4 linked regions of the Sus scrofa genome follow. The protein of the gene in region 2 interacts with the protein of the main gene of each other region in a pairwise test. Links are inferred from orthologs where the notes say so. Each region holds a gene or a part of one and is shown on either strand. Other genes may lie near its edges.

What was found.
Region 1: the proteins of CCDC136 (region 2) and melanoma-associated antigen B4-like interact in binary tests that used the Homo sapiens proteins (3 or more experiments, as listed by UniProt). The two-hybrid records come from large-scale screens. The link is inferred for Sus scrofa from reciprocal best matches to the Homo sapiens genes CCDC136 and MAGEB4.
Region 3: the proteins of CCDC136 (region 2) and C2H19orf66 interact in binary tests that used the Homo sapiens proteins (3 or more experiments, as listed by UniProt). The two-hybrid records come from large-scale screens. The link is inferred for Sus scrofa from reciprocal best matches to the Homo sapiens genes CCDC136 and SHFL.
Region 4: the proteins of CCDC136 (region 2) and FAM107A interact in binary tests that used the Homo sapiens proteins (3 or more experiments, as listed by UniProt). The two-hybrid records come from large-scale screens. The link is inferred for Sus scrofa from reciprocal best matches to the Homo sapiens genes CCDC136 and FAM107A.

Annotation. Positions count from the first base shown.
Region 1 is NC_010461.5:25,892,127-25,899,848, reverse strand, and holds the start of melanoma-associated antigen B4-like, read right to left. Parts: upstream 4,426-7,722; 5' UTR 4,305-4,425; intron 1-4,304.
Region 2 is NC_010460.4:19,805,035-19,812,297, forward strand, and holds part of CCDC136 (coiled-coil domain-containing protein 136), read right to left. Parts: intron 6,501-7,263; coding exon 6,389-6,500; intron 5,319-6,388; coding exon 5,150-5,318; intron 4,901-5,149; coding exon 4,760-4,900; intron 4,425-4,759; coding exon 4,266-4,424; intron 4,001-4,265; coding exon 3,830-4,000; intron 3,163-3,829; coding exon 2,977-3,162; intron 1,164-2,976; coding exon 969-1,163; intron 502-968; coding exon 271-501; intron 1-270. UniProt on the Homo sapiens protein: May play a role in acrosome formation in spermatogenesis and in fertilization.
Region 3 is NC_010444.4:68,938,956-68,946,670, reverse strand, and holds the start of C2H19orf66 (UPF0515 protein C19orf66 homolog), read right to left. Parts: upstream 4,426-7,715; 5' UTR 4,119-4,425; coding exon 4,098-4,118; intron 3,627-4,097; coding exon 3,503-3,626; intron 3,308-3,502; coding exon 3,258-3,307; intron 1,643-3,257; coding exon 1,604-1,642; intron 1,461-1,603; coding exon 1,311-1,460; intron 846-1,310; coding exon 742-845; intron 601-741; coding exon 446-600; intron 1-445.
Region 4 is NC_010455.5:40,365,284-40,373,128, reverse strand, and holds the start of FAM107A (protein FAM107A), read left to right. Parts: upstream 1-3,420; 5' UTR 3,421-3,697; coding exon 3,698-3,721; intron 3,722-7,845. UniProt on the Homo sapiens protein: Stress-inducible actin-binding protein that plays a role in synaptic and cognitive functions by modulating actin filamentous (F-actin) dynamics. Mediates polymerization of globular actin to F-actin. Also binds to, stabilizes and bundles F-actin.

The DNA.
Region 1 (7,722 bases), on a different chromosome or scaffold from region 2:
GACCTCCACTATGCTACAGCCACAGCAATGTGGGATCCAAGCCACATCTGCAACCTACACCACAGCTCACAGCAATGTCAGATCCTTAACCCACTCAGTGAGGCCAGGGATCGAACCTGTGTTCTCATGGATTCTAGTCAGGTTTGTTACCACTGAGCCACAATGGGAACTCCCTTGATTTCTCTATTAAGGCATAGAGAGACCATGTATGTCTTGCCTGATTTTTCAGCAAAATGCTTTAAAAATAAATGGATTATGTATGAGCTGAAATAATCCTTTATTTCAGAGAAAATTTTGATGTTTAGAATACAAATTCCATAGGAAAGTCTGTGATTTGAGGAATTTGAGAGATAATCAGAAAGAATACCCCTAATAGCCTATATATTTTTTCTAGTAGTCGATTACTTAGTAGTAAGTAGAAATATTTTTATTTATTTATTTAATTTTTCGCTTTTTAGGGCTGCTCCCGCAGCATATGGAAATTCCCAGGCTAGGGGTCAAATCAGAGCTGCAGTGGCTGGCTTACACCACAGCAAAAGCAATGCCAGATCTGAGTCGTGTCTGCGACCTACACCATAGCTCAGGGCAATGTCAGATCCGTAACCTACTGAGTGAGACTGCGTCCTAGTCAGGTTTGTTACCGCTGAACCCCAAAAGGAACTTAATGAAATATTTTTATTTTTAAATCAAGTGACAAATTCCTAACCATGTCTTCAATGTTTTCTACAAATCTATCTTTTACGGATAAAAAGAAACTCTTTTTTTTTTGGTCCATAAAAGACAAATGGCCATTTATACTTATGAGTTATTTAGGAAGAACTGGGAAGAAAACTCCCACTGTTCTTGCTACCTCACACCTGGTCCTCTCCAGTGGGTCAGAAATCTGATTAGAGAGAATTGAGATAAAGACCCCAGCTCATGGTTGGCTTTCCTCTTGGTCTCCCTAGAATAAGCATGCTCACAAGCAAAACAATTTTTCTCAGGAGTTCCCATTGCAGCTCAGCAGGTTAAGAACCCGACTAGCATCCATGGGGACTTGGGTTTGATCCCTGGCCTCACTCAGTGGGTTAAAGGATCTGGCGTTGCCATGAGCTGTGGTATAGGTTGAAGAAGCAGCTCAGATCTGGCATTGCTGTGGCATAGGCTGGTGGCCGCAGTTCAGATTCGACCCCTAGCCTGGGAACCTCCATATGCCACAGTTGCAACCCTGAAAAAAAAAAAGACAAAACAAACAAAAATACAGTTTTTCTCAAAGCCAAGGCACATCCACTTGTTACTTTTTCTCTCATCCTTCATGCCAAGTGAGGTTTGAGAATTTTAATTAAATAGGTATTTATTTGTTGCCCTTCTATGCCCATCAAGAATGCAAACTTCTAAAGACAAAGATTATGTCATTTTATTGACTATGTTTATCACAGACACTAGCAAAAATTTTTATTCGTACTTCATGTACATAGTACAAATCTGTTGGATGCTGTATATAATCCTCTCATCCTACGTTTAGTTAACTTAGACTTTTGGCTGGCCCTTAAATATTCTCTAGGTTTTCCTACTGTCATGCCTTTGTTATGCTGTTTCTTCATTCAAGGCTCTTTCTCTTTAATTCCCACCAGTGGTCTCATTTTTTTCCTTTTTGAAATCTTATTGATCCCTCAAGGTCTAATTCATCCTCAGACATCCTCAGTGATTTCTCTCCTAATAAACTCAACCAAATATGCTCTAATCCTATACACACTTGTACCATTTTTTTTCAAAAATTTCTCTGAAGGGGGAGTTCCCACTGTGGCTCAGCAGGTTAATAAACTGATTAGTATCCATGAGGATGCAGGTTCAATCCCTGGCCTTGCTCAGTGGGTTAAGGATCCAGCATTGCCATAAGCTGTGGTGTAGGTTACACATGCAGTTTTGATCTGGAGTGGCTGTGGCTGTGGCATAGACCAGCAGCTTCAACCCCTAGCCTGAGAACTTCCATATGCCATGGGTGCAGCCCTAAAAAGACAAAAAAAAATTTCTATGAAGGAATTTATCATGTTTCAACTTATATTTTATTCAATCACATGCATACTTTCTCCGTTCCTTTTGATTACAATTTTTCTAAGGCTAAGGACTATGTTTTAGTTATGAATCTTCAAAAGCACCTGGAACATAGCGGATGCTTTAAAAATGTTTTTCTACTGGAGTTCCCGTTGTGGCGCAGTGGTTAACGAATCTGTCTAGGAACCATGAGGTTGCAGGTTCGATCCCTGCCCTTGCTCAGTGGATTAAGGATCCGGCATTCCCTCCCATGAGCTGTGGTGTAGGTCACAGATGTTGCTCGGATCCCGCACTGCTGTGGCTCTGGCGTAGGCCAGCGGTTGCTGTGGCTCTGGAGTAGGCCAGTGGCTACAGCTCCAATTGGACCTCTAGCCTGGGAACCTCCATACGTCACGGGAACAGCCCTAGAAAAGGCAAAAAAAAAGACAAAAAAAAGAAAATGTTTTTCTACTGGCACTGCTGGCATAACTCTATCATTTTAAATTATTTAATCCATGGATTCAACAGCACATAACTGGTTACCTAAGTTAGCTATAGTCTGATTGATTTATGTAACTAAATAATATGTATTGATTTTAAAACACCAATGACACATATTTAATAATTCATAAAATATGATTTCTTGCATGCTAATTTAAGTTCTGTTTTCCAAGTAAGAAAGTTGTGTAATAATTGTAATATGACTATAGAGTGGCTGCATCATTACTCTAATCATAAGAATCTTTAAGAAATGCAGATTTACTTTTCCAGATTACTGAGAGTTACAGGTAATATGCTATATATGTGTTTAATTTTAAAAACTTAAAGAGAGATACATTATCTAAAATGAGAGAGAATCATGAAAGAAAAAAAAATATTTTCTCATTTGTAAGAACTTGGACTCCTTAAGGCATCTGATAAATATAAAAATGATACTTTCAAAAACTGTAAGAAGATGAAGATTCCTGATTGCTGAAGGTTTTACTTTATTCAAACATGTAGCACCAGATCATGTAAGGAGAATCTTATTCTGCTTAAAGCCTGAGCGATTTGATTTGCTGCTTTCTGTCAGTGTAGAAGTTGACATTTTCTACTCACACAGATATATTTTTCCAACATTGTAAAACTGTTCAGAAAATGAGCTATGCTTGTAAAATCCTTCTTCCGTCTTATCACTAGGTGATTTTTGGCAATTAACCCCATCTTTTAATGCTAAATCAACCTAAAATGCCAAAAATACAATGAATACTTGTACATATGTCTTTCTAATCAGATATAGGAGTACTTATATCCACTAAGAACTATTCATCCAGAAAATGATTACAATGATTTAAGTGGGTATATTATAAAATTTCAATTGTACTTAAGAACTGCATAATGTTTGAAGCTGCTCTGAGAACTTGTATCCTACAAACTGGTAAAATAACATTGATCTGAGCTGCCTACATGTTCTTTTGTTCACCTTTTAAAACTTATAACAGGGAACCCATTTTCTTTTTTAAGGCTGACACAGTTTATGCTTCATCTTTTGACCTTCATTGAAGAAAGTTTGTTTTCTGTATCATATAATGACATTTGTATACCCCAGCTTCTATTGTGCTATTTGAGGATACTTCATTCAACAAAGCTTTACTGCTGTCAGTCTTGCCTTGTCTTGTCAGAAACACATGACATATTAGAATTTAAAAAAATTCATAGAGGGTTGATAAAGTTACTAAGTACAAACTATTAATTTAGGTGTAGGTGGAACCACAAGATATAGGGCAAGAACCTGAGGCTAGTAACAGTGGAGTTTGTCACCATCCCTAGGTCCTAAGAAACAAGGGAGAAGTTATTGGAACTCAGAACATGACAAAATTATGTAGAGTAGGCTAACTCAAGAATATAATTTGAGAAACAGAGCCAGCCCAAGGCAATGGTGCAGGAAAGGATTGTGGAGAATAAATACCCTATTCTCTTTCTCCTTTCTCCCTTCAGTCTCCCAGAGCTCCCTGTAGGTTAAACCCAACCAGAAGACAGAAGGTACAGGAACCCTGCCAATGTGGCCTACAGAGACATCAGTCAAGTAACAGGGAAGGAAAGAGCACATACCTAGAGAGGAAAACAGCAGATATCCAACAGAGCTCCTATGCTATATACACAGTGAACACCACACCCCCTGACCTTTAATGTTCCTTATAGGCACAGCCTCAATGAAATAAGTCAGTATAATAATGGGTAGATTAATTCCACCCTTTTCAATACTTGCCTCAATGAACTGGCATCATTTTGTAGTGTTTAATAATTCTCACCTGTGTTGCCGGGTGCTGCTTAATTACGGGAGAGTTTCTATTGAGGATTTTTAGCCATCTTTTGAGTCCATAGCTGTTGCAGAACTTTGGCTACCATGTTAGTTTTGGATTACGATTATTTCTTAAAGTGGAAAAAAAAAAGTGAGGCACAGTTAAATCTTGATTTCCTAGTCAAAGTCAACAACACAGCCTAGGAACTAAAATTTTTAGCACCCATCATTTCAACTCTCTCACCTATATTTGCTCTATGTAAATTAACACCCACAAAACTGAATAGAAGATTAGCACTGAACTCTTGCAGACAGGTGGAGAAGAATTATGACATCCGGCAATCTGTGAAATATTCTTGTATTTTTAACTGTGTATTCTTGTGTTTTGGGCTGTGTATGGGGCCTTTCCTGAATTGCTTTCCTTCCCTCCGTTGCAGCAATCTCCTTACAACCTTTTCCCTTTGGTCAGAAAAGGGGGGGAAGTGCCAACATAATTAGTATGCCAGAGTCAGTAATACTCCGCTGCCAAATGGCTTCTTGATTCAAATTAATGAAAACATGGCTAGCTGTGTCAACAATGGGGTCCTCAGCACCAAGAGGCCACAGCTCATGTCATGAAGAAGACGGCCCAATTCCACTTCCAAGATTGTGTCACTGAAGAACCTTTCCTAAGATATGGACCGGGTTTGCTTTCTGATGTGCTTCAGTTTCCTTGGGGGTGAGGGGCATGGAGTCTTTTGTGATCACTCTATTATAAAACATTCTTCACACACAGAGGAGATGCACTTGAGCTACTTCCCCCAAGTCAACACAGCTCACCCTAATGAAACACTGAGTATGCGCCAAGTTTTGTGCTAGGTGCTAGTGATAAGATGAATGTCACCCTGCTGACAAGGAGACCAATGCATAAAGAGACAAACACACACAAATGATTGGTCCTTGTGGAGCTCAGAAGAGGGAAAATAGAGTCTTTATTGGAGAGATAAAAGCTGTTTGGGGCTGGATATTAAAGAACGGATGAATATGGCATTCACAGATGGAAAAGTGAGAAGAGGAACTTCCAAGCAGAAGTGATGACTAGTGCAAATTGTGCAATTATTTGCAGTGAGCACAGGACAAGTCATAAAACCAGTAACTTCAGCAGGTAATGAATTACCATAAGTATGTGTTGATATATTGGGAACAGAAATTATTTACCATTTTCTATAAAGTCTCAGTGTCTAGCACAGGACATGATACAGAGTAGGGATTTCATAAATGTTGAAATGTAGAGTCATCAGTGACTTTTTAAAAAAGGTTTTTCAATTTATTTTAAGACATGAGCACACCATCAATTTTGAAGTGACCTGGAGAACTTACAATCTTTACCAAAATGAGTCAGACTACATAAAATGCTAATTTAGTTGATAATGAGGGAATGCTGAAGAAACATAATAAGTTACGATTTTTGATATGTAGGCTCACATCTTAAGTCTAAACATTTGGGATTAGGAGGCATCAATTAATCGTCAGATCCCTGCACATCTTATGGGCAATCATCCCTTTCATATTAATCCATGAGTGCTTTATGGGGCTCAGTAGAGCTTACTCTGGGACTATCGTGAGTTCCCAACTCAGCCTGAGGCCAGCAACAGGAGAGATTACAAGAGTCCCTTAGGAACTGTGCCTGACCTGCACTGTCCATGTCAGAGTTGGCTGCATATTTGAAGACTGTATCAGACATCCTTTGATATATGCAAGCTTCCACCACAGAAACACTCATGTGTATGCATACTGTGTTACATTAGGTGACTTTGCTTCTTCTTTTGGGACCACAGATGCTACAGTTTAAGAGCAAGAGGCTAATGTTCCTCCAGCTGACACAAACCTACCAGTCCTGACAGTGACATCAGTAAAATTTGAGACTTCCCTACAAAGAGGAGTGGCATATAGAAAAAGAATAAGCTATCAGCAATGTGCTTGCTAAGAAAAGCAACAAGCTTGGTGTGTTTTAGAGACTAGGTAATGAGAAGGCCAGAGGAGCAAAATGCAAAGAGAACTGTTGGAAGAATGTTCAATAATGCATTTGCTCAGATCCACAGACTGGAAGCTCTCAAACACTATGGTGCGAACTAAAGATATGCCAAGCAAAGGAAATTAATTATTAACAAAGTCGGAGTTCCCGTCGTGGCGCAGTGGTTAACGAATCCGACTAGGAACCATGAGGTCGCGGGTTCGGTCCCTGCCCTTGCTCAGTGGGTTAACGATCTGGCGTTGCCGTGAGCTGTGGTGTAGGTTGCAGACGCGGCTCGGATCCCACGTTGCTGTGGCTCTGGCGTAGGCCGGTGGCTACAGCTCCGATTCAACCCCTAGCCTGGGAACCTCCATATGCCGCGGAAGCGGCCCAAGAGATAGCAACAACAACAACAAACAACAACAACAAAAAAAAAAAAAAAAAAAAAAAAAAAAAAAAAAAACAAAGTCAAGGCAGCACAGGAATCATAAGATTAGTGACTTCAATTTTAAAGTGAAAAAATTACAAATAAACTGTATCCATAATGTAAGAAGAAGCAGTTGTAATTTCATAGCTCCTACAATTCCACCCCACTGAGCACCCAAATTCCTCCAAATTGTCCTCCCACTTTCCCCCCAAAAAATAAGACTTTGTTGTTGTTGTTATTAAATCATAAGTTAACAGTTACTTTTGTATTTGAAAGTTCAAGGAAAACTCTTCATTTGAACATGTTATAAAGTCCCTTATAATTTGACAGCATATAAAAAGAACACATAAGGACTAAATTTTTCATAGAAACAATTCAGCGATGTGACATGAATGGAGCAAAAGAATTTGGGGAATTATAGCACAGGTTCTTTAGTGACCAGGGCACAAGGACTGGGCAAGTCCAATGCAAACTGGAACCAAAAAGTAGGTACATCAACTGCTGAAGACTTTGCCTGAAGCAGAAAGAAAAGAAGTAACTATCCTGGCTTCCTCCCTTGTATTATCCTTCAATCTCTTCTCAGAGCCTTCTACTGGCTGCCCCAACCAGAAGCCATCAAGCAAGGGGTACTGGGGAATGTACTATGCAGAAAACATGCTCACAAATTCTCTGACATTCCCACTACCAGAAGTAGAATCTAATTCCCTTTCTCTTGAACATAATTTGTCTTAGTGACTTGCTTCTAAGGAACTGAATGTAGCAAGTAGAATGCATGATTTCATACAAGAAGATATAACTTCCACCTTGTTCTCTCCTGTCTATCATGAGAAGACAGGTTCTTTGAGGTGCAATCCAACAGAGGGAATTTAACATAGGGAAATCATTGCAAACAGAAGTTTGTAAAAGACCTGAAAAATTAAACAGAGGGCAGAGATGCAGTCTACGGATTAGCAATAGCCAAACAGATAGGAATAAAAGACCCGTATAGGTGGTCTGGTGATAGCTCCA
Region 2 (7,263 bases):
TCAGGAGATCTCAGACTGCCAGGTCCTAAGGGTTTGCAGAGCTTCACCTGGGTATGCATCTGGGGAACGAGCTCAGGTCATATCTAAAGCCAATCTTAATGAGCCCAGTGGTCCCTGGTCCTGGCTCCGAGGGCAGGGCGTTCGCTTCCTCCTTGCTCCTGGCGAAAGAGGCCTTCCCAACTCTGACCCCTCTGTGGAGCCCCCGTTGCCTGCCACGCCTCTGCCCCCGGGACCGGCTCCCTGCCTTGGGCGACGTCCGGCTATGGTTACCTTGCTACTGTTACCACATTTTGAGGACTTGGGTGATCTGGAATTCTCAGGACCCTCCAACACTTCCCGGAAACCAGACTCCTTGAAATGCTGCAGTGCGCTGTGCAGTTCTAACTGCTCCTTTATTACACATTCTTGATTCTGTATCAGTTTTTTCTGCTCCTCCTGCATGCCTTGGTAGAGCAACTGGAGTTCACACAGGTTTTGTAACTTTGTAAGTAGCTCCTGACTCTGTGAGGTACAAAGGAGGCAGGAGCTGTGGTGGTTCCACGGGGAGACCTCTGCCTCCTTCCCGCCGGGGACCCTTGCCTTAAGGGAGCTGGCAGTGTACAGCCCACCGGCCAGGGGCATTGTAGTCTTTCTATGGAGACCTATTCGTTGAGTGGTAGTGACCTTATACGTTGGGATGCATTTTGCAGTTGACAAAGTTCTTTCAAGAACATTTTCTGCGCACAGACTAAATATCTAACTATGAAATGCTGGACAGATCCCAGAGTACAGGATGCATTTTAAGACTTAAGACCCTAATCAGTTATCCTCAACTGTTCTGTTTGAGGGGACTGGTGAGCAAGTAGGGAGTGGCTGGCTAGGAAAAGAAGTTGGAGCCCCACCCTTTTACCTCTCCCAAGTGCAGTCACACCCAGGAAGCTCCTCCGAGCGGCTTCTCCTAGCTAGCAGCCGTGTCTGGCTGTGGTTACCTTGTGGAAGAGACCAGATTTGGGCAGCGGGAACGTGAGCCTGTGCAGCTCTTCTTGCAGCTGGCCCTGCTCCTCCTGCATCCTCCTCTGCTCCTCCAGGAGCTCGCACTGCTGCATCTGCAGCTGGCCCATCTCCTTCTGGCTGGCCTTGTACCTCTCCTGCAATTCTGTCAGTCTGAAGAGCAGGGTGTCACACTGCGGGCGGGGCGGGTGCGGTACGGAGGAGGGGCCGTTACCCTGGGGGGCAGGCTCCCCTGTCTCTGCCTCTCCAATTGGGCACGAGAGTGCCTTTGCACTCTTACCTCTCGTGATTCATCAGGGTCTCCCCCCTGCTCCACAGTCACCTTAGACAGATCACCCCAAGCCCCGCTGCACCCCTGCAGGCCTCGATGCTGACAGGGCAGCCCACAGGCTGCTCTGGACCGCCCGCTGGGCTGGGCTGTACTCCTCTCTGAGGACGGCTGGCAAGGGAGCGAGTTATCAAAGTCCCTCCCTTCTCAGCAGATCTGTACCCTTTTCCCCTGTAGGGAATTCCCGTTCCTGTTACTCTCCTTATCCCCAGATCTTTCTATAACCAATTATGCTCCTTACCGCTGAGGACACGTCCTTTCACCTTTCACCCTTCACCCTAGTTTCCCCCCAGTTTTGTTGTCATGATCAGCTTTAAGAATCTTTAGAAGATTATGAATTTCTGAATTTTGGTTGAAAAGACTAAATCATCCCATGATTCCAAAAACCCAAATCTTCCGAAATCTTTTAACATCCAACTAATCTCGCTGCTGTTTTAGGACTAAAGGAGAGGCCGGTTCTGTAGGCCAGCAGCTTCTCCCTTTCGTGGTCTCTTCCGCTAGGAGAGGGGGCGATGAGCACGCTGCGGACCCCCAGACCTCTCAGTGAAGTGGGAGTGGGGGGAGGAGGAAAGTGAGCCTGGGTATAGACAGGCAGCTGGAAATCACCTCCCCCGCTGTGTCCTCCGAAAGCCTTTCCCTGGGGACACAGCCCGCTGTCGGCCGTGGCAGGAGGCGACTGGCTCCACCATCTTTTGAGAATCTTGCCCCTTTTCTCCATCATGTGTCAACATCTTTCCATTTCCTAGCGGTGACCGGGAGCTGAAAGTGCTCAACAAGCCTGACTGCTAAGGATGTGCATTTGGCACACTATAGAAAAAAAAAGGGGAAAATGAAGAAGGTAGGCCTTATCATTACCAGGATTTTCTCCTAAAAGAAAGTGAGATAAGAGTAGCATTCTGTTCCATTTAAAGATAAATTCAAAGCTTAATTCACGCTTGGAATTTAACTACTCTGAAGGCACAGAATAAATCCTGGAAGAGCCCAGGGCCTTCTCATACCCAGTCAGCACTCTGGGCACAGACCATGCCTTTCGACAAGAGCATCTCAGAAAACGGCACCTTCTCTTTCTAGCTCTGACAAAAAGAGTTATGCACATGGGCCGATGTGTGTGTTCCTCTCCACGAATGACAAGGTAGCACTACAGTTCTAATAACAAGGTATACATGTCTACACACATGGAATCATGTATAAAATCTTCAGACTAGATCCAGAGGTACTGTGGCTTGGACTCAAAGTCAAGGTAAAGTTGATGCTTTTTTTTTTTAGGGGTGCACCCACAGCATATGGAGGTTCCCAGGCTAAGGGTCTAATCGGAGCTACAGCTGCCGGTCCATGCCACAGCCACAGCCACACCAGATCTGAGCTGCATCTGCGACCTACACCACAGCTCATGACAATGCCAGATCCTTAACCCACCAAGTGAGGCGAGGGATCATGGTTACTAGTCGCATTCGCTTCCGCTGCACCACGACGGGAACTCCAAGGCAAAGTTTTAAAGTTAACTGCATGGGGCGCTGCCTCTGCTTCCTGCCTTTCCACAGTGAGCTGCGACTGGACAGGAAGTCCATCAAGCCCCTCGGTTGGATGACTTCATCTTTTGTCCCCATACCTCCTCTTTCCAGGGCTCGGGAGCTCTCACCTCTCTTAATAACAATTACCTTATTCGCACATTGCCCCTTGTCCTCTTGGATGGCCTGGGTGGTCTTGAGCTGTTGCAGCTCCTCCTGGCAGAGCAGGAAGTCCTGCTCAAGCTGATCGTACATGTGCTTCTGCTGCTCCAGCGCATCCCGGCTGGTCTGGTGGAGCCGCTTCACCTCCTGCAGCTGGGCGCGCATCTCCGTGTACTGGGGCGGGGGAGGCAGACCCTGCCGTCACCCCAGCAGCCCCTGTGGCTGCACCCCCTCCTGTCAGGCAGGGACTCAGGGGAGCCTACCCTGTCCTCTCCAGTCCTGGTTTCATCCCAACGGGAACGACCTGCGATGGGCCAGTCCCTAACAGGCTCTACCCTGGGACGCCCTCTTTTGGTGGCGAAGGAAAGGGGCTTCCTTTTGACAGGTTCCTTTTCTTTTGCTTTTTGCTTTTTAGGGCTGTAGTTGTGGCATACGGAAGTTCCCAGACTAGGGATCTAATCAGAGCTGCAGCTGCCCGCCTACACCACAGCCACAGCCACACGGTCTCTGAGCCGCGTCCGTGATCCACACCACGGCTCACGGCAACGCCAGATCCTTAATCCATTGAGCGAGGCCAGGGATTGAACCCACATCCTCATGGATACTAGTTGGGTTGGTTTCCACTATGCCACAACAGGAACCCCTACAGGCTGATTTTCTGATTCAAAATTAAAGGAAGCTGGGCCCATCATGACCCTCGGAGATCACTTTTCCACTAAGCACCTTCTTCTCTCCTTGCCGCCAAGAGCTCCTCCACAGAACTCCTACCATCCCTCTCCTCCTGGGTCCACTCACGGGAGAGCCTGCCGCTACCTTCTCTGTCACCTGCAGCTTCCTTTACCTTCTCTCTGCTGTCTTGGAAGGAGGCCACGACGCCCTTGAGGTGCTGCACCTCCGCCTCGTGGCACTGCAGGTTGTCCCGCAGCTGCTGCTGCACGTCCAGCAGCTTGTCCTTTTCACACGTGATGTTCTGGTACTGCAGCTGCAGCTTCTGGAGCCGGCACAGTAACTCCTGCGGTGGAGGGGCCCGGGGCAGTACCTCTGGGATCCGCAGCCGCTCTTCTGCTTGAGTCGCTCTCAGACTCGGACAGTCTGAGAACCCGCTTCCCCCTGCCCTGCACTTGGGGGGGTCCTCTCAGCTGGCGGAGGACTCCTGGACTTCCTCACCTGTGGCACCGCACAGGGGGTCGCTGGCGCGATCTCAGTGCTCTGCTCTTATCCCCTTCCCCCCGAGCCTCTTGGCACCTAAGCGGCCCCTCACCTCTGGTGGGTGTTACCTTCTCACTCTGGCTTTCTACGACTTGGGATTTCGTGATTTTGAGCTGCCGGAGCTCAGCCTGAAGTTGTAGCTGCACCTTCAAGAGCTCATTCTGCTCATCCTGGCTAGCATCATACTTTTGCTGTAGGGCACAGAGTCTGGTCCGCAGCTCCTCGTTCTGCGGTGGGGAGGGTGTGGACAGAACGGTTACGCTCATGAATCAGCAGACCCCTCTCCAGACCAGAGTGGCTCGTTTCCAGAGGCAGACATCTTGAGGAGCTCCCACGGGCCCATGGTTTAGTGTCTTCTCTGGGACAGACGCTGGATAATGACCACCGTTTCTAGAATGCCATGCTATGTGACTTTGCCAACTGCTCTCTGGTGGAATGTACCCCTGGTTGCAGGGCAAGGGTCAGCAGAATGCAGCCTTCCTCTGGGTCGGGCCTCCCCTGAGGGGGCGACTCCATGTGGGCCCTCTGCCCTCCCCGATGCCCTTCCCCTGTCAGTGTTTACCTGGGTGACGTCATGGGAAGTCTGAAACCGAAGCACCTCGTTCTGTGCGCACTTGAGCTCCCTCTGCAGCCGCCTTTGCTCCTCCTCGCTGGTCCGGTGATGATGCTGCAGCTCTTGCAACTCACAACACAATTTCTTACACTGTGTGGGAAACGGATCAGGAAGGCTGACTTACTACGATGGGCACGTGCACTCCAGGAACGGGCTTGGGCAGAGCATGGCGTTCTTTTTACTGGGATATTTCCAGCAGGCGAGCAAGCCAGCCCGTGGAGTACCATCTCCTGCCACAGCACGTGCCTCCTTCGTCAGCCTCGTGTCAAAGGAGGTGTTGCTGCCACAGGCCAGGAGAAGGTGAGAAGCAGCCAGTGAAGGGCGCCTGCCTCTCCCTACCTTGCTCTGCATGTCATGCATCTGCTCCTCAGCTCCCAGCAGCTGCTGTCGCAACAAATGCATTTCAGGATCAGGCTCCAGGAAGTCGGCTTCTGAAGTCTGAGACTCTGCTGACATCATACTCCGCAGTGTTTGGGACTCCAGCCACCTTTCTGTTGCTCTTCGTGTCCTGTAACCCAGAACCCCAGAGCCATGACTGGGAGAGAGCTCTGCCTGGCATCACCCGCCAGGTGTGCTTGGTCCTGATGCCTTGTTTTAGGCAAAGGATAGTCAGGAGCCTTCTACATTGTGATTCACCTCTCAAACACGCTCAGGAGATAACGGAAAAGCCCCTAGCACCTCCATCTGCAAAGGCTTGTTTGGCTCTGGGAGTGCTAGTCCAGCTGGGCTCGAGGTTGGGCCTGGAGTCAAGCCAGCTCCAATCTGGAGGCAATATGCCATTAGACTGAATAAAGTCTGTGAGGACAACCAAGGATTGCTACTCATCTATGCTAGGGCAGAGCACACCAGAACTAATGCTGAGAATGGAAGAGAACCAAATTTTATTTTATTTTATTTTTTTGTCTTTTCTAGGGCCGCACCCAAGGCATGTGGTGGTTCCCGGGCTAGGGGTCTAATCAGAGCCGTAGCCGCCGGCCTACACTAGAGCCACAGCAATGCGTGATCCAAGCCGTGTCTGCGACCTACACCACAGCTCACGACAATGCTGGATCCTTAACACACTGAGCAAGGCCAGGGATCGAACCGGCAACCTCATGGTTCCTAGTCAGATTCCTTAACCACTGAGCCACAATGGGAACTCCGAGAGAACCAAATTTTATTTATTTTTGTTTGTTTGTTTTGCTTTTTAGGGCCGCACCTGCAGCACATGGAGGTTCCCAGGCTAGGGGTCTAATCAGAGCTACAGCCGCCAGCCTACACCACTGCTCACGGCAATGCCGGATCCTTAACCCACTGAGCAAGGCCAGGGATTAAATCCTCAACCTCATGGTTCCTGATCGGATTCGTTTCCACTGCACCACGATGAGAACTCCAGAAGAGAAGTAAATTTTAGAACTCACTCAACTCTAGTCCTGGGATACCTGGGTTGGATCCCCAGGTCTGCTTCCTGGCAATATCCATACCCTTTGGATACCATGGTAAGGACCAGCCCTCCAGAGGCCGAGTGAAGCTTGTGAGCCTGGCACCTGCCTTCACTGGTTCTAACTCGGGGAAAGGGCCCCCGCCTCCGGGCTGTACCTCTCACTCTCCAGCTCTGCAAGCTGCCCTGTGAGGCTGCTGTTGCTCTCCTGCAGGGCCTGGTACTCCTCATTCAGGAAGCGGTAGCGGTCCCGCAGCTGCTGCAACTCTTCTGCAGAGGACAGGCAGAGAGGTGAGATCCCATGGAGGCAGCACTGACGACCAGCCCCCAACTCCCCTGCCTAGAAATCTGACTGCAGAAAGCTGAATAGTTTCTCTTTTTCTAAAGACAGAAGAGATACCACATGCGGAGGCCCGGAAAGTTCCATGCTGCAGTGGACCTCTGTCCTCTTTCAGATAACCGCCCTTCTTTTCATCTTCCTAGATTTCCCCTGTCTGCCCATCTTCCAAACCCCAACCAAGACAGAGTCTTGGGATTTTAGGAGCTTGTGAGCATTTTCTTAAAGTTCTTGGTTTATTGTATTTAAAGTTTCCATTCAACTGTTTATGGTTGGTTTCCTCTTACACTTTTAGCACAAAAAGCTGAGAGCGTGAACAGTCAGATGTCACACTGTCAGGCCTGGGCTTTCAACACAACCCGGGCACCCTTTTACTTTCTGACATCCTCTTACTGCCTTTATCACCACACTGAATATATTGGCCTGTACTCGGTCAAGAATTCTAATGATCTTCTATGTGCTAACGAAAAAGCCCACGCCAACCACACGCAGAAATCATCCGCAGGCATCAGCAGAGATCTCTCTTGAAATGCCCCTAAATTCCAGAAACCAATACTTTTTAATGCTGTGATAATAGGAACACCCATATCTATTGTACCTCTCCATGGTAAAGAATTATTTCTCTCAGAATACTAATTCTGCTGATTTCTTTGTTTTGTTTTGTTTTATGCTTGGTGGTTCCCAGGCTAGGGGTCA
Region 3 (7,715 bases), on a different chromosome or scaffold from region 2:
AGGTCACAGGTGTTGAAGCCACCAGAGACTCAGGTACATGGGCGTCACCTGAGACTATGGGAGACGAAATGGGAGCCAAGAACGCAGAGACCACAAGGGCAGAAGCCACAGGACACTGGGGTGTGGGCCACTGGAGTGAGACCACAGAGCCTATGGGTAAGACAATGGAAGGTGGCCAATGCCATGGGAGGTGGGTGTTAGGAGGGGCAAGGGTCCTGAGGGACCTGGAGGTAAGGAGACTTGGAGGACCATGGAAGATGTAGAAGGAGGGGCAGATGCGCTGGGAGACAAAAGGGCCTCCAGGACTGATGTGGCCTTGGGAGGTGTGCAGAAGAGGCAAGCAGAAACCCTGGTACTTAAATCCCCAGGGTGGATGTCCCAGGAATCAAGGCCAGGTAGACTGCCCAGAGTTGGGGAAGGCCACGGGGACACACCAGGCCCTCACCTCGCCGGTTGTAGCAGTCCTCAGCTGAGCAGGAGTGGGTGTGGTTGCTGCGGCGATCCGTGTCCCAGTCCCAGCGCGGAGGGAGGATCCGTGTTGGAAACACGGGGAAGCCGCACCCATAGCAGGGGGATGTGGACCCCATTTGCGCCCAGCCCCTGGGGGCGGGGAGGGCCGTGAGGGTCCAAGGGCTGCCTGGGCCAGTGTGGGGCCGGGGCTAGGAGGGGCAGGGGTGGGGTGGGGCGGGGCCGAGAGTGGGGACTAGAGGTCAGAACCCTCACCAGAAGTTGTGCCCTCACCGGAAGTTGTGCCGACATTTCGGGCAGTGGAACTCAGCCACGCCCCACATCTTGTCGGGTGGCACTGGCTCGTAGCGCTTCCTGCATTTCCTGCATCTGGACACCTGGGGGTGCGGAAAGGGGAGCCGGCTTGAGGTCAGAGGTAAGTACCAACAGCTTGATGTTGACCACAGTGAGATTTACACAATGGAAATTGGCAAACACTATAAATCCGGGGTTGCCTCCACCCCACAAGAGCTGGCTAATAGGCATTTACCAGAAGCACACCACTGGTCAAGGGGTTCAGAAGCCAGATATAGGGTTGTAGTTGCGGGGGGTCAGGTTTGACTTCTGCGGTAGCTGTCAAACTATGTAATCCGAGATCAGGCTCTGGGGTAAAAGTCGAGCTTCTCAAGTTGAAAGAGAAGTCCAGTCGGGGTTGGGGTATGCGATTCGGGTTGATCTCTGAGGTTGGAGGTCGGGGGTTGGGTTCTTAGAGGCTGATGTTCTTCCGTCAAGGGTTTGGACACTGAGGTTGAGGGTTGGGAGTGGAGTCAGGACAGAACCAAGGTCAGGGGTTGGGTTATCACCTCCTTCCGCTGGGGCACGCGGCGCCACCAGACGTGGTCACAGGAAGAGCAAGCGAACTGCCGGTCCACGGCAGGGATGAGGTCTTCCTGGGCACGCTGGAACATGCGTAGGTTGGCTTCTGTCAATGGCAGGAGGGAGGTTGCCACTGCCTGTAGGATGGTGTAGGTGGGGATGGGAGGGTTGTCAGCCCTCTTTTTCCCTTCCTCCCCCTACAGCGTCCCTCGTCCTCACCTAGGGACCTCCCCATGGATGTCCTCCCTGCTCACCTTCCCGTCCCACATCCTGGACTCACCTGGATGTCACGGTCCTGCTTCATATCCTCTGGGGGGTCCTAAGTGGAGACACCAGGGCAGAAACTGGGGATGTGGCTCATGCATCTTTTCTGTGGGTGGGGCTTCTGGGGAGCGGGGGTTCTGGCCCCATATTAAGAGTAGGGTGTCCCTAGGAGTTCTTGCTGTGGAACAGCCAGATCAATGGTGTCCTGGGAGTGCTGGGATGCAGGTTTGATCCCTGGCCCAGCACAGCGATTTAAGGATACTCCATTACTACAGCTGCGGCTTAGGTTGCAACTGAGGCTTAGGTCTGATCCCTTGCCTGGGAACTCCACATGCCGTGAAGTGGCAAAAAAAAAAAAAAAAAAAAAAAAAAGCAGGGTGTTCCTAACTCAGGAGGAGTTGATTGACTGAGAAGTATCTATTTCCTCAGGGCAGGATGTGTGACTTCAGTTGTCCTTAGAGCAACCCTGAGAGGTAGGCATATTTATTACCCCCATTGTTCAGATGGGGAAACTGAGGCCCAGAGCTGGGAGAGGGCTTGCTGAATTTACCCTGAGTGAACCTGGTGGGGCAGGCCTGGACCCCATGCTCCTGTCCTACTCACAAATGCCACACATTTGTTGGCATGGTGACAGGTCACCTCTTTGAGGCCATGCTGCTTTAGGCTAAGTGCTTGGGCTCTGGATTTAGGGAGATGGGGGTTGAAATCCTGGCCTCATTACCTCCAGCTGTGGGGGTGTAGCCAAGCCATTCCCACTACTGAGGGACATCTAAGAGCCCAGGTTCTGACTCTAGGTGGCGGAGGTTCAAATCCCAGCTGTCACCTGCCTTCTGCATGAACCTGGCAAGTGGCTTCATCACCCTGTGTCTCAGTTTTCTCATCTGTAAAATGGACATGCTAGTATCTTAATAGGACCTGTCTCATAGGACCTGTGGCAATGAAATCAGTCAACAGGTAAAAGTCCTGGAGTCCTGCCACAGGGGAAGTGCTTTATCAATGACACTCTTTGCTATTTTATCATACTCATCATATGTATAAATGTAAATATATGAATGTTAAGAGTGTAATTCATCCTTTATTACACTTTTTAAGAACTCTATGCTGGGCCTTTTAGACAGGTGAAACCAGTGCACCAGACACCAAAGCCATCTAAGGGGCAAAGTGGCCCTGTTGTGTCTATGCCTCAAAGCCTTTCATTCATTCATTCATTCATTCCTTTGGGATCCCCTGCCCCTCTCTCCTCCCCCACCTCCTGCTCATCCCAGCCTGTCCGCATGTTCCTTTGCTCGCACAGCCTCCCTCTTCCAGGAAGACCCTTTCTGACTCCTCCCCTTCCCAGGGATGACTCCTCCCTGATCTTGAACAACTTCCTTCCAACTCCTCCAGGAAGCCTTCCCTGACCTCTGTGGCTCCTCTGTAAATGACATTAATCCCGATTCATTTCACTGGCTAGTTTCTTGTCTCACCCCCACTGAATACAGTCAGCATGTAATGAGCACCTACTGTTTGCAGGCCCGCCAGCCAGATACAAGACTGAGAGGTGAATAAGTGAATGAGGCTGTACCATGAGTTGTGGACTGACAGTGCACAGCGGGGGCTCAGCGTGAATGAGCTTACCCTTCTGTTCTCCCTCCCCTTAGCACATCCTTTGAGGGAGAGGGACAGTTTACCTGGGCATCCAGGTCATTACTCAGTTCCTGTCCATCTTTCTGCTTTACCCCTGGTGGGGAGAGTAAGTGTAAGTGAAGGGCCCTTGAAAGATCTTGTGGGAGTTTCAGTGTCCCCAGAACCCCTGATACAGACCGCTCCCCAAAGAGATGATCTCATCGCTTCTTTCTACCCCCAACACAGACCACACCCCCCTCCAGTGCTCCTCTGCAGAACCCCCACCAGGCCCTCGATCCGGCCTGCTCACCGTACACGATGGAGCGCCCCACTCCGGTGTGGTCGCTGCCAAATTTCCTCATCAGAGTCCCCGCCTTCTTGGGGGATACCTTCCCATGAAACTTCTCCCGGAGGCGCCGGACGCTCTTCTCCAGCTGGGGTGGGGACAGGGGGCTCCGAAGGAGGAAGGAGAGGAGCGATGGCCCTTCCCCCATCCCTAGGCATCCTTTTTCTTGGCCTGAACTTGACCCTTGGTTTTGGCTTCTGCACAGCACCCCCCCCCCCCCAATCCCTCTACTGCATTTCCTGGAAAAAGCCAAAGTCCCTACAAGGCACTGGGGGAGGGAGCGGACCAGGGTGAGCGTCCTAGGCTAAGAGAGGAGGCCCGCCAGGTAACCCCTGGCCTCTGACCCTTGACCCAGCAGCCTCCGCTTTTCCTCGAGGAGGCCGCATTTCGCTCTAGGGCATGTGGTGGCCACTCTCCTTTCTGAGGGGAACGAGTGCCAGCCTAAGGATTGGTCTGGGTTTCAGATGGAGTCCCCAGGAACTGCGAAGCCCCTTTCGCGCCCCGAACTCCTCCCCAGCATCTCTCGCAGGCCCCCGGCCCACTGGCAGCCATCTCCTACCTCCACACCTTCCTGAGACATGGTGGCGGCGCAGGTCCCAGCGAGGGTCCGCACTGCGCGCTCAGCGACCCCCTACCTGGGCGCGCCCGTCGGTCCTGCCGCCGCGCAGGGCAGGGGGCGGGGCCTCCAGGCGGGCTCCGCCCTTCCTTTCCGGCCCTCCGTTTCGCTTTCGATAGGGAAAGGGGGGACGGGGCGCGCTGGCTCCGCCTTGGCTCCGCCTCTGCTCTTGCGCCCCAAACCCAGGCGGGCGCCACCGATCTGCACCCTGCGGCGGAGCGCGCAGACCTCGGGCGGGGGAGGCAGCGCGGCCTCTGCAGTCGGTCACATGTCCCCACGCTGCGCGGGGTCCGCGTCTTCACGTCCCTCGTGGGGGTGGGGCCGCATCGGAAGGCCGCGGCGAGTTTCCGCGCCCCCGTTAGCTCGCGCCCCCCCATTTCATTGTTCCATCCCCTCCCCTCCCCGGGAATCAGGCAGTATTCAGCACCTGGACCCCTTTCTTGCTCTGAGTCTCTTACCTGGCCACGTCCCCTTTCTGAACCTCAATTTACTCCTCTGTAAGATGGGATGATGGTAGTGGCTACAGTCTGGGTGTATTTTGGCGGCGGGGCGGTGGCGGGGGCGGTGTGTGTTTGCCAGGATTCGATTCCCTGCGTAGAGCAGTTAGTAGCGCCTGGCAGGTTGTAGACACTTAACTGGTCACTGGGTCACCTACTATGTGTAAGATAAGGAGGGGCAAGCAGCTGGGGGGAAGGAAGAGATGCTTGTTAAGAACACAAATTCCCGGGGTCTCTAGCAGTTGTCCAGAGTTAGGCTGTCTAGGGGATTACAGGGAATTTACACTGTAAATGGGAAGGTTGAGAACCCCAGGGGTCCGAACTTTTCTAACCTAGCAGGGGGCGAAGAGGGGGCTAGAGGAGCTCTTAGGAAGGGCTCTGGCCCAGCCTGAAGGCTTCAGAAATGGCTTCTCTGAGGAATCCTTGAAGTATGAGGTCTCAGCTAAGCGAAGAATGGAGTAGGGAAGGAGGGAGCTAGTCCTGCAAAGACCCCAGAATCAAGAGAATCTAGCGCTTTAATCTAGGGCTTCTCAACCTCAGCTCTACTTGGGGCTGGATGGTTCTTTGTGGTGGGGACCTGCCCTGTGCATTGTAGGGTTTTGAGCTGCATCCCTGGCCTCTACCCACCAGATGCCAGTGGCACACTTGCCCCAGTTGAGACAACTGAAAGTGTCTCCAGATGCTGCCAAATACCCTCTGAGGGGCTAAATTGCATTAGGACAAATGACTCCAAAAATCATTTTTCAGTGAGCACCCCTATGTTCAAGCTCCATCCCCAGGTGGCTATTTGTGTATAAACTATATACAAATACAATTATACTGAGAGATTCCATAGATTATTTAATAATAATGTATTCAGTACATAAAGATATTCCTCAGCAGACTAAAAAAAAAAGGACATTAAAAATAGAAATGTTCCGGGAGTTCCCGTCGTGGCGCAGTGGTTAACGAATCCGACTAGGAACCATGAGGTTGCGGGTTCGGTCCCTGCCCTTGCTCAGTGGGTTAATGATCCGGCGTTGCCGTGAGCTGTGGTGTAGGTTGCAGACGCGGCTCGGATCCCGCGTTGCTGTGCCTCTGGCGTAGGCCGGTGGCTACAGTTCCGATTCAACCCCTAGCCTGGGAACCTCCATATGCCTCGGGCGCGGCCCAAGAAATAGCAACAACAACAACAACGACAAAAGACAAAAAGACAAAGGCAAAAATAAATAAATAAATAAATAAATATTATTAAAAAAAAAAAAAAAAAAAAAAAATAGAAATGTTCCGGAGTTCCCACTGTGACGCATCGGAATCGGTGGTGTTCCTGGAGTGCTGGGATGCAGGTTCGATCCCCGGCCCTGCACAGTGGGTTAAGGATCTTGCATTGCCTCAGCTGCAGCATAGGTCATAACTGTGGTTTGGATCTGATCCCTGGCCTGGGAACTCCATAAGCCAAGGGGCTGCCAAAAAACAAAAAAAAGAGAAGTGTTCTAATGTGTTCTTGAACCTCAACCTTTTGTTTGTGGGGTCTATGCACCTTTCTCTGGAGCCTGCTCTATTAGTGAATATAAATAGTTCACAGTTCTTTGTGGCTGGCCAGTGGGATTGCAAGCAGGGATGGGGGCCTTTAGGCAGCACATAGGACCTGGGATTTTATCCTGAGGGAAGTGGGGAGGTGTGGAGGGGCTCTCCCATTATAATTGCCAATTACTCCTTATCCAGTGGAGGGGGAGGGCATGGCTACATCCCATCCCTTGGTTAGGGTGGGCATTGAGCAGGTAGGAAACGGGTGGGAACCTAAAACAGCCCTGTTACAAGTCAGGTCTGCTAGATTCTCATCATAATGGCCACCATAGTGAGAACTTACTCTGTGCCAGCCACTGTGGACACAGCACCAAATAAAACAAATCCTCATCGAGCTAGCATTCTAGTAGGGGAGACAAGAAACAAGGATAGGAGATAAGTGCCAGGAGGAAAAATGAACTGGGTAGGGGGATGGGTAAAGGGAGTTTAGAAATGGTTGTGGGAAGTAACAGCTGAGGGGAGATCTGAAGGATGTGGCGAGGGGGAGAATTCCAGGTAGAAGGTGGGAGCCTGGGACTGTTGTTACCAGGTATTATAATTCTCTATTGCTGCATAGCAAATTATCCCCAAGCATTAGTGGCTTAAAACAAGAAACAAACCCAACTAGTATCCATGAAGATGTAGGTTCAATCCCTGGCCTCACTCAGTGGGTTAAAGATCCGGTGTTGCTGTGAGCCGTGGTGTAGGTTGCAGATGCTGCTTGGATCCCGTGTTGCTGTGACTGTGTCTATGTCCAGCAGCTGCAGCTCCATTTTGAACCCTATCCTGGGAACTTCCATATGCCGAGGATGTGGCCCTAAAAAGCAAAAAAAAAAAAAAAAAAAAAAAAAAAGGAAACACGTTTTAGTTCATATAGCTTTTTGGGTCAGGAATCCAAGAGTAACTGGGCTTTCTGACTCAGGGTCTCTATAACGTTATAATCGAGATGTTGCCTGGGACTTCAGTCATCTGAAGTTTTGACTGGGGCTAGAAGATCTTACTTCCGAGGTGGCTCATGCACATGGCAGGTATGTGGCTGCTGGTTGTTGGCCGGATGCCTCAGTTCCTCCCTAATTGGGCTGCTTGAGCTTGATACTCTCAACTTGGCAGCTGGCCTCCTCAGAACAAGTGATCCGAGGAAGGAAAGCCAGGTGGAAGTTGTATCTTTATAATCTAACCTCCAGAGTCACATAGCACCACTTCTGCTGCTGCATCCTCTATGTTAAAATCCAGTCACTAGATCTAGCCCATGTCTAGGGATTGGGGGATAAAGACGGTCCTCTTTCTGCTCCTCCCCTACCATTTCCTGCTGGAGCCTTTCACTGGCTGCACCAGAAGGTAAGGAAAGTAAGGGAGTCAGTCACACAGTTAGCCTCTCAGGGCTCAGAGCAGGGGGAGAAGGGTGAGAGTCAATCTGGAGGGACAAAGATACAACCCAAGTGTTGAATTTTGGCATTTGTAGGTGAACAGAAAAACAAAGATTCCCAGCGATCACGTGGGGGCGCTGCCTGCCTGCCAG
Region 4 (7,845 bases), on a different chromosome or scaffold from region 2:
TAACAGCAATGCCTAACTTCTATGGAGAATTGCTGTCATCCACCTATTCTTTGCAAAGAGCTTTACTTGAATTACCTCGTTTCATACAGCCCCTGGGGTAGGGATCGTTGTTATCCTTTTACACATAAGAAAAATGAGGCTCAGAGAGGTCAAGTGACTCATCCAAAGTCACACAGCTAAGGAGCCTCAGAATAAAGACTGGAATCGCAGTCTATCTCCATCACTATAGGAAACAGACTCTTCTTCAGAAACACTACCCCTCATGGCGCGGTGGTTAACAAATCTGACTAGGAAACATGAGATTGCAGGTTTGATCCCTGTCCTTGCTCAGTGGGTTAAGGATCCGGCATTGCCATGAGCTGTGGTGTAGGTCGAAGACGCGGCTCAGATCCCGCGTTGCTGTGGCTGTGGTGTAGGTCGGCAGCTGTAGCTCCGATTAGACCCCTCGCCTGGGAACCTCCATGTGCCAAAGGTGTGGCCCTAGAAAAGACCAAAAAAAAAAAAAAAAAGTAATTCAAAAACACTGCCCTAACATTACTCTGAGGTAAACAGTGTTTCCCGATCCCCCTCTCTCCTCCCCCTTCTCCTGCCCTTCCTCCTCCTCCTGAATGCCTCTGATGACATTCGAAAAGTGCTCAGAATCTGTGTGAACATTCTCACCATCTACCATCATTCTTGGGAGAGATGGATGGGGTAGGTATGGGAGATTTGTTCTTCTCAAAACTCTTTCACATTTTACAGGTCTTGCTATATTTCACAAAGTTGTGGGTCAGGAAGGAGCAGATTTTTATCCCCATTTGCAGACAGAGAAAGAGAGGCCAAGAGCTGTGCCCAGGCCACACAGGGAGACTGGGCAAAGCTGGATCTGGAACAGCTGGTCTTGACCCTTGACCACCAACCATCGTTTCATAAATCATCAGTGTCTGTATTTGAATCATCTCCCTTGTACCAGGCTTTGCCACCTGGAGCCTTAAAATAAAGGCTCGGTGGGATGGGGAGGGGGCAGCATGCCCTTCCTCCTGCACATAGCATGGGGCCCGAAGTTTGCATTTCAGACCCACATGCTGCCAGGAGCCAGGCTTCAGAGCTTCAGCCAATCAAGTCCTCTAGTCAAGCAGGTTTTCCGTGTGGCTGATAAGCCATGTTTCAGCAGAACTCCTAAGCAGATGGGGAAAAATTAACAAATGTGTAAAATTACTTTTCTCTCTTCCTATCCCACCAAGAGCCAAGCCAGTGGATAATTATGGGATGGCTGCCAGAGGAATTTGATCTTCAGGGTTGTCTCATGGCACTTTTACTGATTTAGTTTGCTGCTCTTTCCAATTTTGTGGACTCTCCTTACTGCAGGGAATCAAATGCTACAAACATGTATACCCCTGCCATGTTTGGAACAGGGAAACAAGTAATGAAGAGCAGTCGAGGCAGGGGCTGGACCCAGGAGAAACAGCAAATAAAGAAGTCATACTTTTGCTTGGCTGGAGGGGGCAAGGGTGTTGGGGAAAATAGAGCAACAAGAAATACTGATAATTCCATGCAGGGAGCACTTGTGTTGAGCCAGGACTGTGTTGAGCACTCTATATACTTGGACTAGTTCATCTAATCCTCCTTCACTTATTTATCCACTTCACCAATGTTTTGTTTGTTTGTTTGTTTGTTTGTTTTTGCTTTTGAGGCCCACACTTGCGACACATGGAGGTTCCCAGGCGAGGGGTCAGATCGGAGCTGTAGCTGCTGACCTATGCCACAGCCATAGCAACACAGGATCCGAGCTGCCTCTGCAACCTACACCACAGCTCACAGCAACACCAGATCCCCGAGCCCCTGAGCGAGGCCAGGGATCGAACCTGCAGCTTCATAGATACTTGTCAGATCGTTTCTGCTGCGCCACAATGGGAACTCCATCCACCAATATTTATTGAATGACAGCAATGTGCCCAGCACTACTTGAGTCACAGGGGGTAAACTGATGAACAAGACAGACTACGTCTCACTTTTGTGGGGCTGCCATTCCAAGTGGGGAAGCGCAATGATAAACACAGAAATAGTATCATCCCCGTTTCTGATAAGTGTGGTGACAAAACAACAGAGAACCCAGGAGGCTATTTTGCATAGAGAGTCAGGGAAGGCTTCTCTGAAGAGGTGAAACATGAGCCTGATGATAAAGAGGAAAGACTCATGCAAAGATCAAGAATGGAGTCAAGGGAGATAGGACAGATTTCAGGCAGAGAGAACAGCAAGTGCAAAAGTCCTGAGGTAAAGGGGGTGGTGGTATGGCCAGGAACTGTCAGGGAGAGAGGGATGTTGGGCCAAGGTCTGAGGGGAAAGAAAGGTTGGATAGATGAGACCTTGAGAACCATGGGGGATTCCATTCTATGGGCAAAATCAGATCTAGAACACCTAATATTTGCCTCTTCACCCCCAACTATCACTTCATAAATCATCAATTTGTGTCATAAACCATCACTGTGCCAGGCACTGTGCTGGAGGAAAGGGAAGGGTTTCCCCACCCACCCAGCTCTTGGGGAACAGCGTTGTGCTTAAACTAGTTTCCTGGGACTTGCCAATGGGCAGTGGGTTAATCACCAGTATCACAACCAACATAATAGCAGCACCTAAATTCTACGGGGAATCCTCTGCTCAGCTTTACATGAATGACCTCATTTCATCCTCACAGCCCCGTAGGCTGGGGCCGTTGTCATCCTGCTTTAGCCAAGAGGAAGATTATAAAACGGGGAATGACGTGATCAGATTTATGCTTTAACGAAACAAAGGCTTCAGCTGTACCCACCTTCCCTTTCAAACCTCACAGCAGCCCTGTGTGCTGATTATATGACCCCACACACACAAGAGGAAGGACCTAAGGCTCAGAGAGGTCAAATCATGGGAGGAATAGAGCTATGACTCCAGCTCAAGGTGACTCCGGCCTTAACCTTGCCCCACGCTGGCAACATAGAGAAGCAAGTGGGTGAAAGCAAGGAGGAGGCCGACTGCTGGGGGACGTTGAGAACTTGGCCCCGGGCCTGGAATCTGGCCTCCAGATATTTTCCTGGCCTGAGCCCAGACCAGCCACCCTCTGGCCCTCCCCGCCTGGACCGTTGCCCCGTGGAATGAAGTGTGCTGCTCTCTCTGTCTCTGTGCGGGGAGAACCCCGGGCCCGAGTGCCTTCTAAGATCTATTATTCATGGGGCCGAGCAGCCCTGGGCTTCATGGCCCCACACAAGCCCTCCGATCCCCATGCCGCGACAGCCCCACGCAGCCCCTTCTCTCTCATCTGGGGGCGAGAAGGTCAAGGCGCGCCCTCTGGACCTGCCAGGGGTCACTCGCGGCGCCTGAGCTGCCGACTGTGGCTGCGGGGTGAGAGGACGGTTTTGCTTCTCAATGACGCCGGCTGCCTCTGTCTCTCTTCCCCGAGAGGGGCAGGGGTGCAGGAAGCGAGGAGCTACAGGGACCCGGGGAGGGCATGTGGCTGCCTGGGGACACCGGGCCCCTCCGTCAGGATCAATCACCCTAAGCCTGTCTGAGGAGCTGCCGGCTTAAGAGCAGCTGTGAAAGCTGCCTTTGTGCCTGAGGAGAATGAGCCACGAGAGGACTGGGGACCCCGGGAACCCCTCGGACCTCGGCTCCTGAGATCAGCGCTGCAGAGAGGACTCCAGCCCGGCCCCCAGGGTCCAGCCAGGCTGGGTGTCCACGTCATACCATGGGAGCTGCCCAGGGGAAGAAGGTAGGAGCTCCCAAGGGTCCTGTGGGGGCCCTGGACACGGGAGGGGGCTGCATCTATCAGGTGGGAGTCCTCACACAGCACCCACCAGCTCCTTGGAGCCTCAGCCAGGCACTGCCCGCCCACCTCCCTCCCTGAGCTCACAGAAAAGATTTGCATCTAGAAACCTGGCTGGGGCTCAGGGCAAGGCCAGCCTCTGATCCTTCCATCTCTGAAACAGACTTCCTGGTCTTATACTCACACACCCCTTTACTGCCCTGCTACAGGCTCCCTAACCAACCCCTGCCACCACCACAAACAACCACCCCCAGCCTCGGTTCAGGTGGATGCAGAGTCAAGGAAAAAAACCAATGATCACTGTAATTAAGCTGGCTAACCAACTGTCACCAGGTGTGGTAAAGCTGTGGGCAAATGATTGATGCTCTCTGTGACTCATTTCGTCATCTGTGAAGTGGGGACAATAGTAATCCCTACCTTAGAGGCCGGCAGTGAGAATTTAAAGATGTGAAGTGTTTGACAGAGTGCCTGGCCCAGAGTGGGCTATATACAAGCTGTGATCTGTTGTTAGCAGGACTTTCATGTTATTTCTCATCACCTTCTCAGTCTGGGATCTCACTTGGGAAGGTTATAGCATAGTCAGTGCAGTATTCCTTGGAGTGTGGGAGGGGGCTTGTCAACAGTCACCTTCTCAGGCTGACATCAGAGTCTCTGAGGAGGGACTGGGATTCTGAGTCTATTCACCTGCTTTCAGGGGGCTCACAGCCCATACCGACCACAACTGTGATCCCAGCAGTGAGGTCAGGCTGCCCAGGTCCCAGCTCATCCACCTACTTACTGTGAGGAACTAAGCCTCTCTGGATCCCAGCTCATTTGTAAAGTGGAGCTGGTACCCATCTCGTGGGAGGTTCCATGAAACGTCGCCCTTCAAGCACTTATGATGCTGCCTGACAAGCAGAGAGCCTGATACCACAGAGGCTCTAATCCTCAAACAAGTCATGATGCGTTAAAGGCAGGGAACTGAGGCTCAGAGGCAAGACGTGATTTCTTAGCCAGGGTCATGCAGCTAGAGGAGAAAAGGGAAGGATTTTGATCCCCTTCTGCTTGACTCCAAACTTATGGCCAACCCAGCCCATCCTACATTTTTCAGATTTGGAGACAAACACATCATGGACCACAAGGAGGAAGCACTCCGGACTTCAATTTCCCCATTTGCAGAAATGGGAGTGTTAGGCTAGAGGACCCCTAAGGGCGTTCTAGTGCTGGCTTCTGCTTTCCACCTCCCTTGCTTCATATGCAGAGTCAGGCCTGGAAATTTCTGCCTCCCTTCAGCATCCCCAAAAACATCTCCCCCTGAAAACTTGATTATCCTGGGGCTGGCACTTCCCCCATGCAATGCTTACTCCTGCCTGCAGGGGTCAGTGTGGGTCAGCTGCAGTCAAGGCAGGTGGTGACCTGACACAGCCTTTGGGAGTCCCAAAGATGCCTTCCCAGCCAAGCCTTGAGCCCCGGCCCTAACCAATCCCCACTTTCAGGAGCACTGTTCCTGCTCCTTCTCTCTGCCAGAAGAGAATGAACTCAGCCTCTAGACCCTATCTGTGCTGACCATGAAGGTGGAGAGTCATCTTGGAGACCAGCTTCCCAAACCTAGAAAAGACCCTAACAAGGTCTAGCAAAATATACCTTGAGTACCACCTCCCTATTCTCTCACATGTGGCAGACATCACAAATTGATCCCTGCACATTTTCCCACTAAGTCTAGAGAGCCTCACTGTCCTCAATACAGCAAACCGGGACTCCCCTAACAGTCAGTCAGAATTAGCCCCCAGGTTGAAAGCCATGCTATCCATGGGCCCAGTCCCTTCCCACGCCTTCTGGGAAAAGCCCTCCCAGAGAGAAAGCAGCAGGGAACTGTGATAGGAACGGGAGCTTTAGAGTCAGCCAGATCTGAGTCAGTTCCTCCACATCCTCGTTACCTTGGGCAAGTCACCACACCTCTCTGAGTCTCATATTCTACTTCAATAAATGAAAGATAATAGGAGTTACCATTGTGGCTCAGTGGTAACACACCTGACTAGGATCCATGAGAACGCAGGTTTGATCCCTGGCCTCTCTCAGCAGGTTAAGGATCCAGCATTGCCATGAACTGTGGTGTAGATAGCAGACATGGCTTGGATCCCAAGTTGCTGTGGCTGTGGCATAAGCCAGCGGCTATAGCTCCAATTCAACCCCTAGCCTGGGAACCTCCATGTGCTGCAGGTGCAAAAAGACAACAAAAATAAAAAATAAACAAAAGATAATAATCCTCCTCAGATTGTTGTAAAACCTAAATGATAGCATGCCTGGGAAGAAATAGGCACATATGCAATATAGTCTCTTCCTGAAGTGGACCCTCTCTTAAGTGCATCCTCTTCTGAGCCTCACAAGTCTTCTTTTGAGCCAATGAGGGCATCCATATCACACCCAATGGCTGATGAAAAAGCTGAATCCCAACAGACATAACTTCCCCAGCTTCTCAGTGGTGAACCATCAAGGAGCAAAGGCTGTGAGCGAGCTAGGTCAGGCTCTCTCTGAGCGATCCTTCATCTGTGAACCACCCCCACCCAAAGCCCCATGTGCCCACCTCTCTTTCTCTTTCTGGAGGCAACAGCCCCACTGGCCTCTGGGTGATGTGTAACAGGCTTGCTGTGCAGAATGTAATCACCCTCACCCTTGCATTTCTTCTCCCACTGGCTTGTCCTGTAAAGTTCTCAGATCCGACCCACAGTTATGGTTTGTTTGTTTTTTATTACTCAATTTATTACATTTATACTTTTACAATGATCATCACAATCCAATCTTATAGGATTTCCATCCCACAACCCCAGCACATCCCCCCACCCCCAAAACTGTCTCCTTTGGAAACCATAAATTTTTCAAAAGTCTGTGAGTCAGAATCTGTTCTGCAAAGAAGTTCAGTCTGTCCTTTTTTCAGATTCCACATGTCAGTGAAAGCATTTGATGTTGGTGTCTCATGGTACAACTGACTTCACTTAGCATGATAGTTTCTAGGTCCATCCATGTTACTAAAAATGCTGGTATTTTGTTCCTTTTAATGGCTGAGTAATATTCCATTGTGCATATGTACCACCTCTTCTGGATCCACACCTCTGACTATGGACATTTACGTTGTTTCCATGTCTTGGCTATTGTAAATAGTGCAGCAATGAGCATCAGAATACATGTGTCTTTGCAAGTCATGGTTTTCTCTGGATAGATGCCCAGGAGTGGGATTGCTGGGATCAAATGGTAGTTCTACGTTTAGTTTTCTGAGGAATCTCCATACTGTTTTCCACAGAGGTCGCACCAACTTACAATCCCACCAACAGTGTACTACAGTTCCTTTTTCTCCACACCCTCTCCAGCACTTCTTGTTTGTAGACTTTTTGATGATGGCCATTCTGACTGGGGTAAGGTGGTACCTCATAGTGGTTTTGATTGACATCTCTCTAAGAATGAGTGATGCTCAACATCTTTTCCTGTGTTTTTTGGCCATCTGCATGTCTTCTTTGGAGAACTGTCTGTTTAGATCTTCTGCCCATTTTTTGATGGGGTTCTTTGGTTTATTGGTATGGAGCTTGTGGAAGGTGTTTATTAATTTTGGAGATGAATCCCTTGTCAGTGGATTCACTTGCAAAGATTTTCTCCCATTCTGTGGGTTGTCTTTTCATTTTGTTTAGGGTTTCCCTTGCTGTGCAGAAACTTTTCAGTTTGATTAGGTCCCATTTGTTTGTTTTTCTTTTTATTGTCAATACTCTGATAGGTGGATCTGAGAAGATGTTGCTGTCATTTATGTCAAAGAGTGTTTGGCTATGTTTTCCTCTAAGAGTTTGATAGTGTCTGCTCTTATATCTAGGTCTTTAATCCATTTGGAGTTTATTTTTGTGTATGGTGTTAGGGAGTGTTCTCATTTCATTCTTTTCCATGTGCCTGTCCCGTTTTCCCAGCATCACTGATTGAACAAGCTGTCTTTTCTCCATTGTATATTCTTGCCTCCTTTGTCATAGATGAGTTGGCTGTAGGTGTGTGGGTTGGATTCTGGGCTTTCTATCCTATTCCACTGATCTATATTTCTGTCTTTGTGCCAGTAC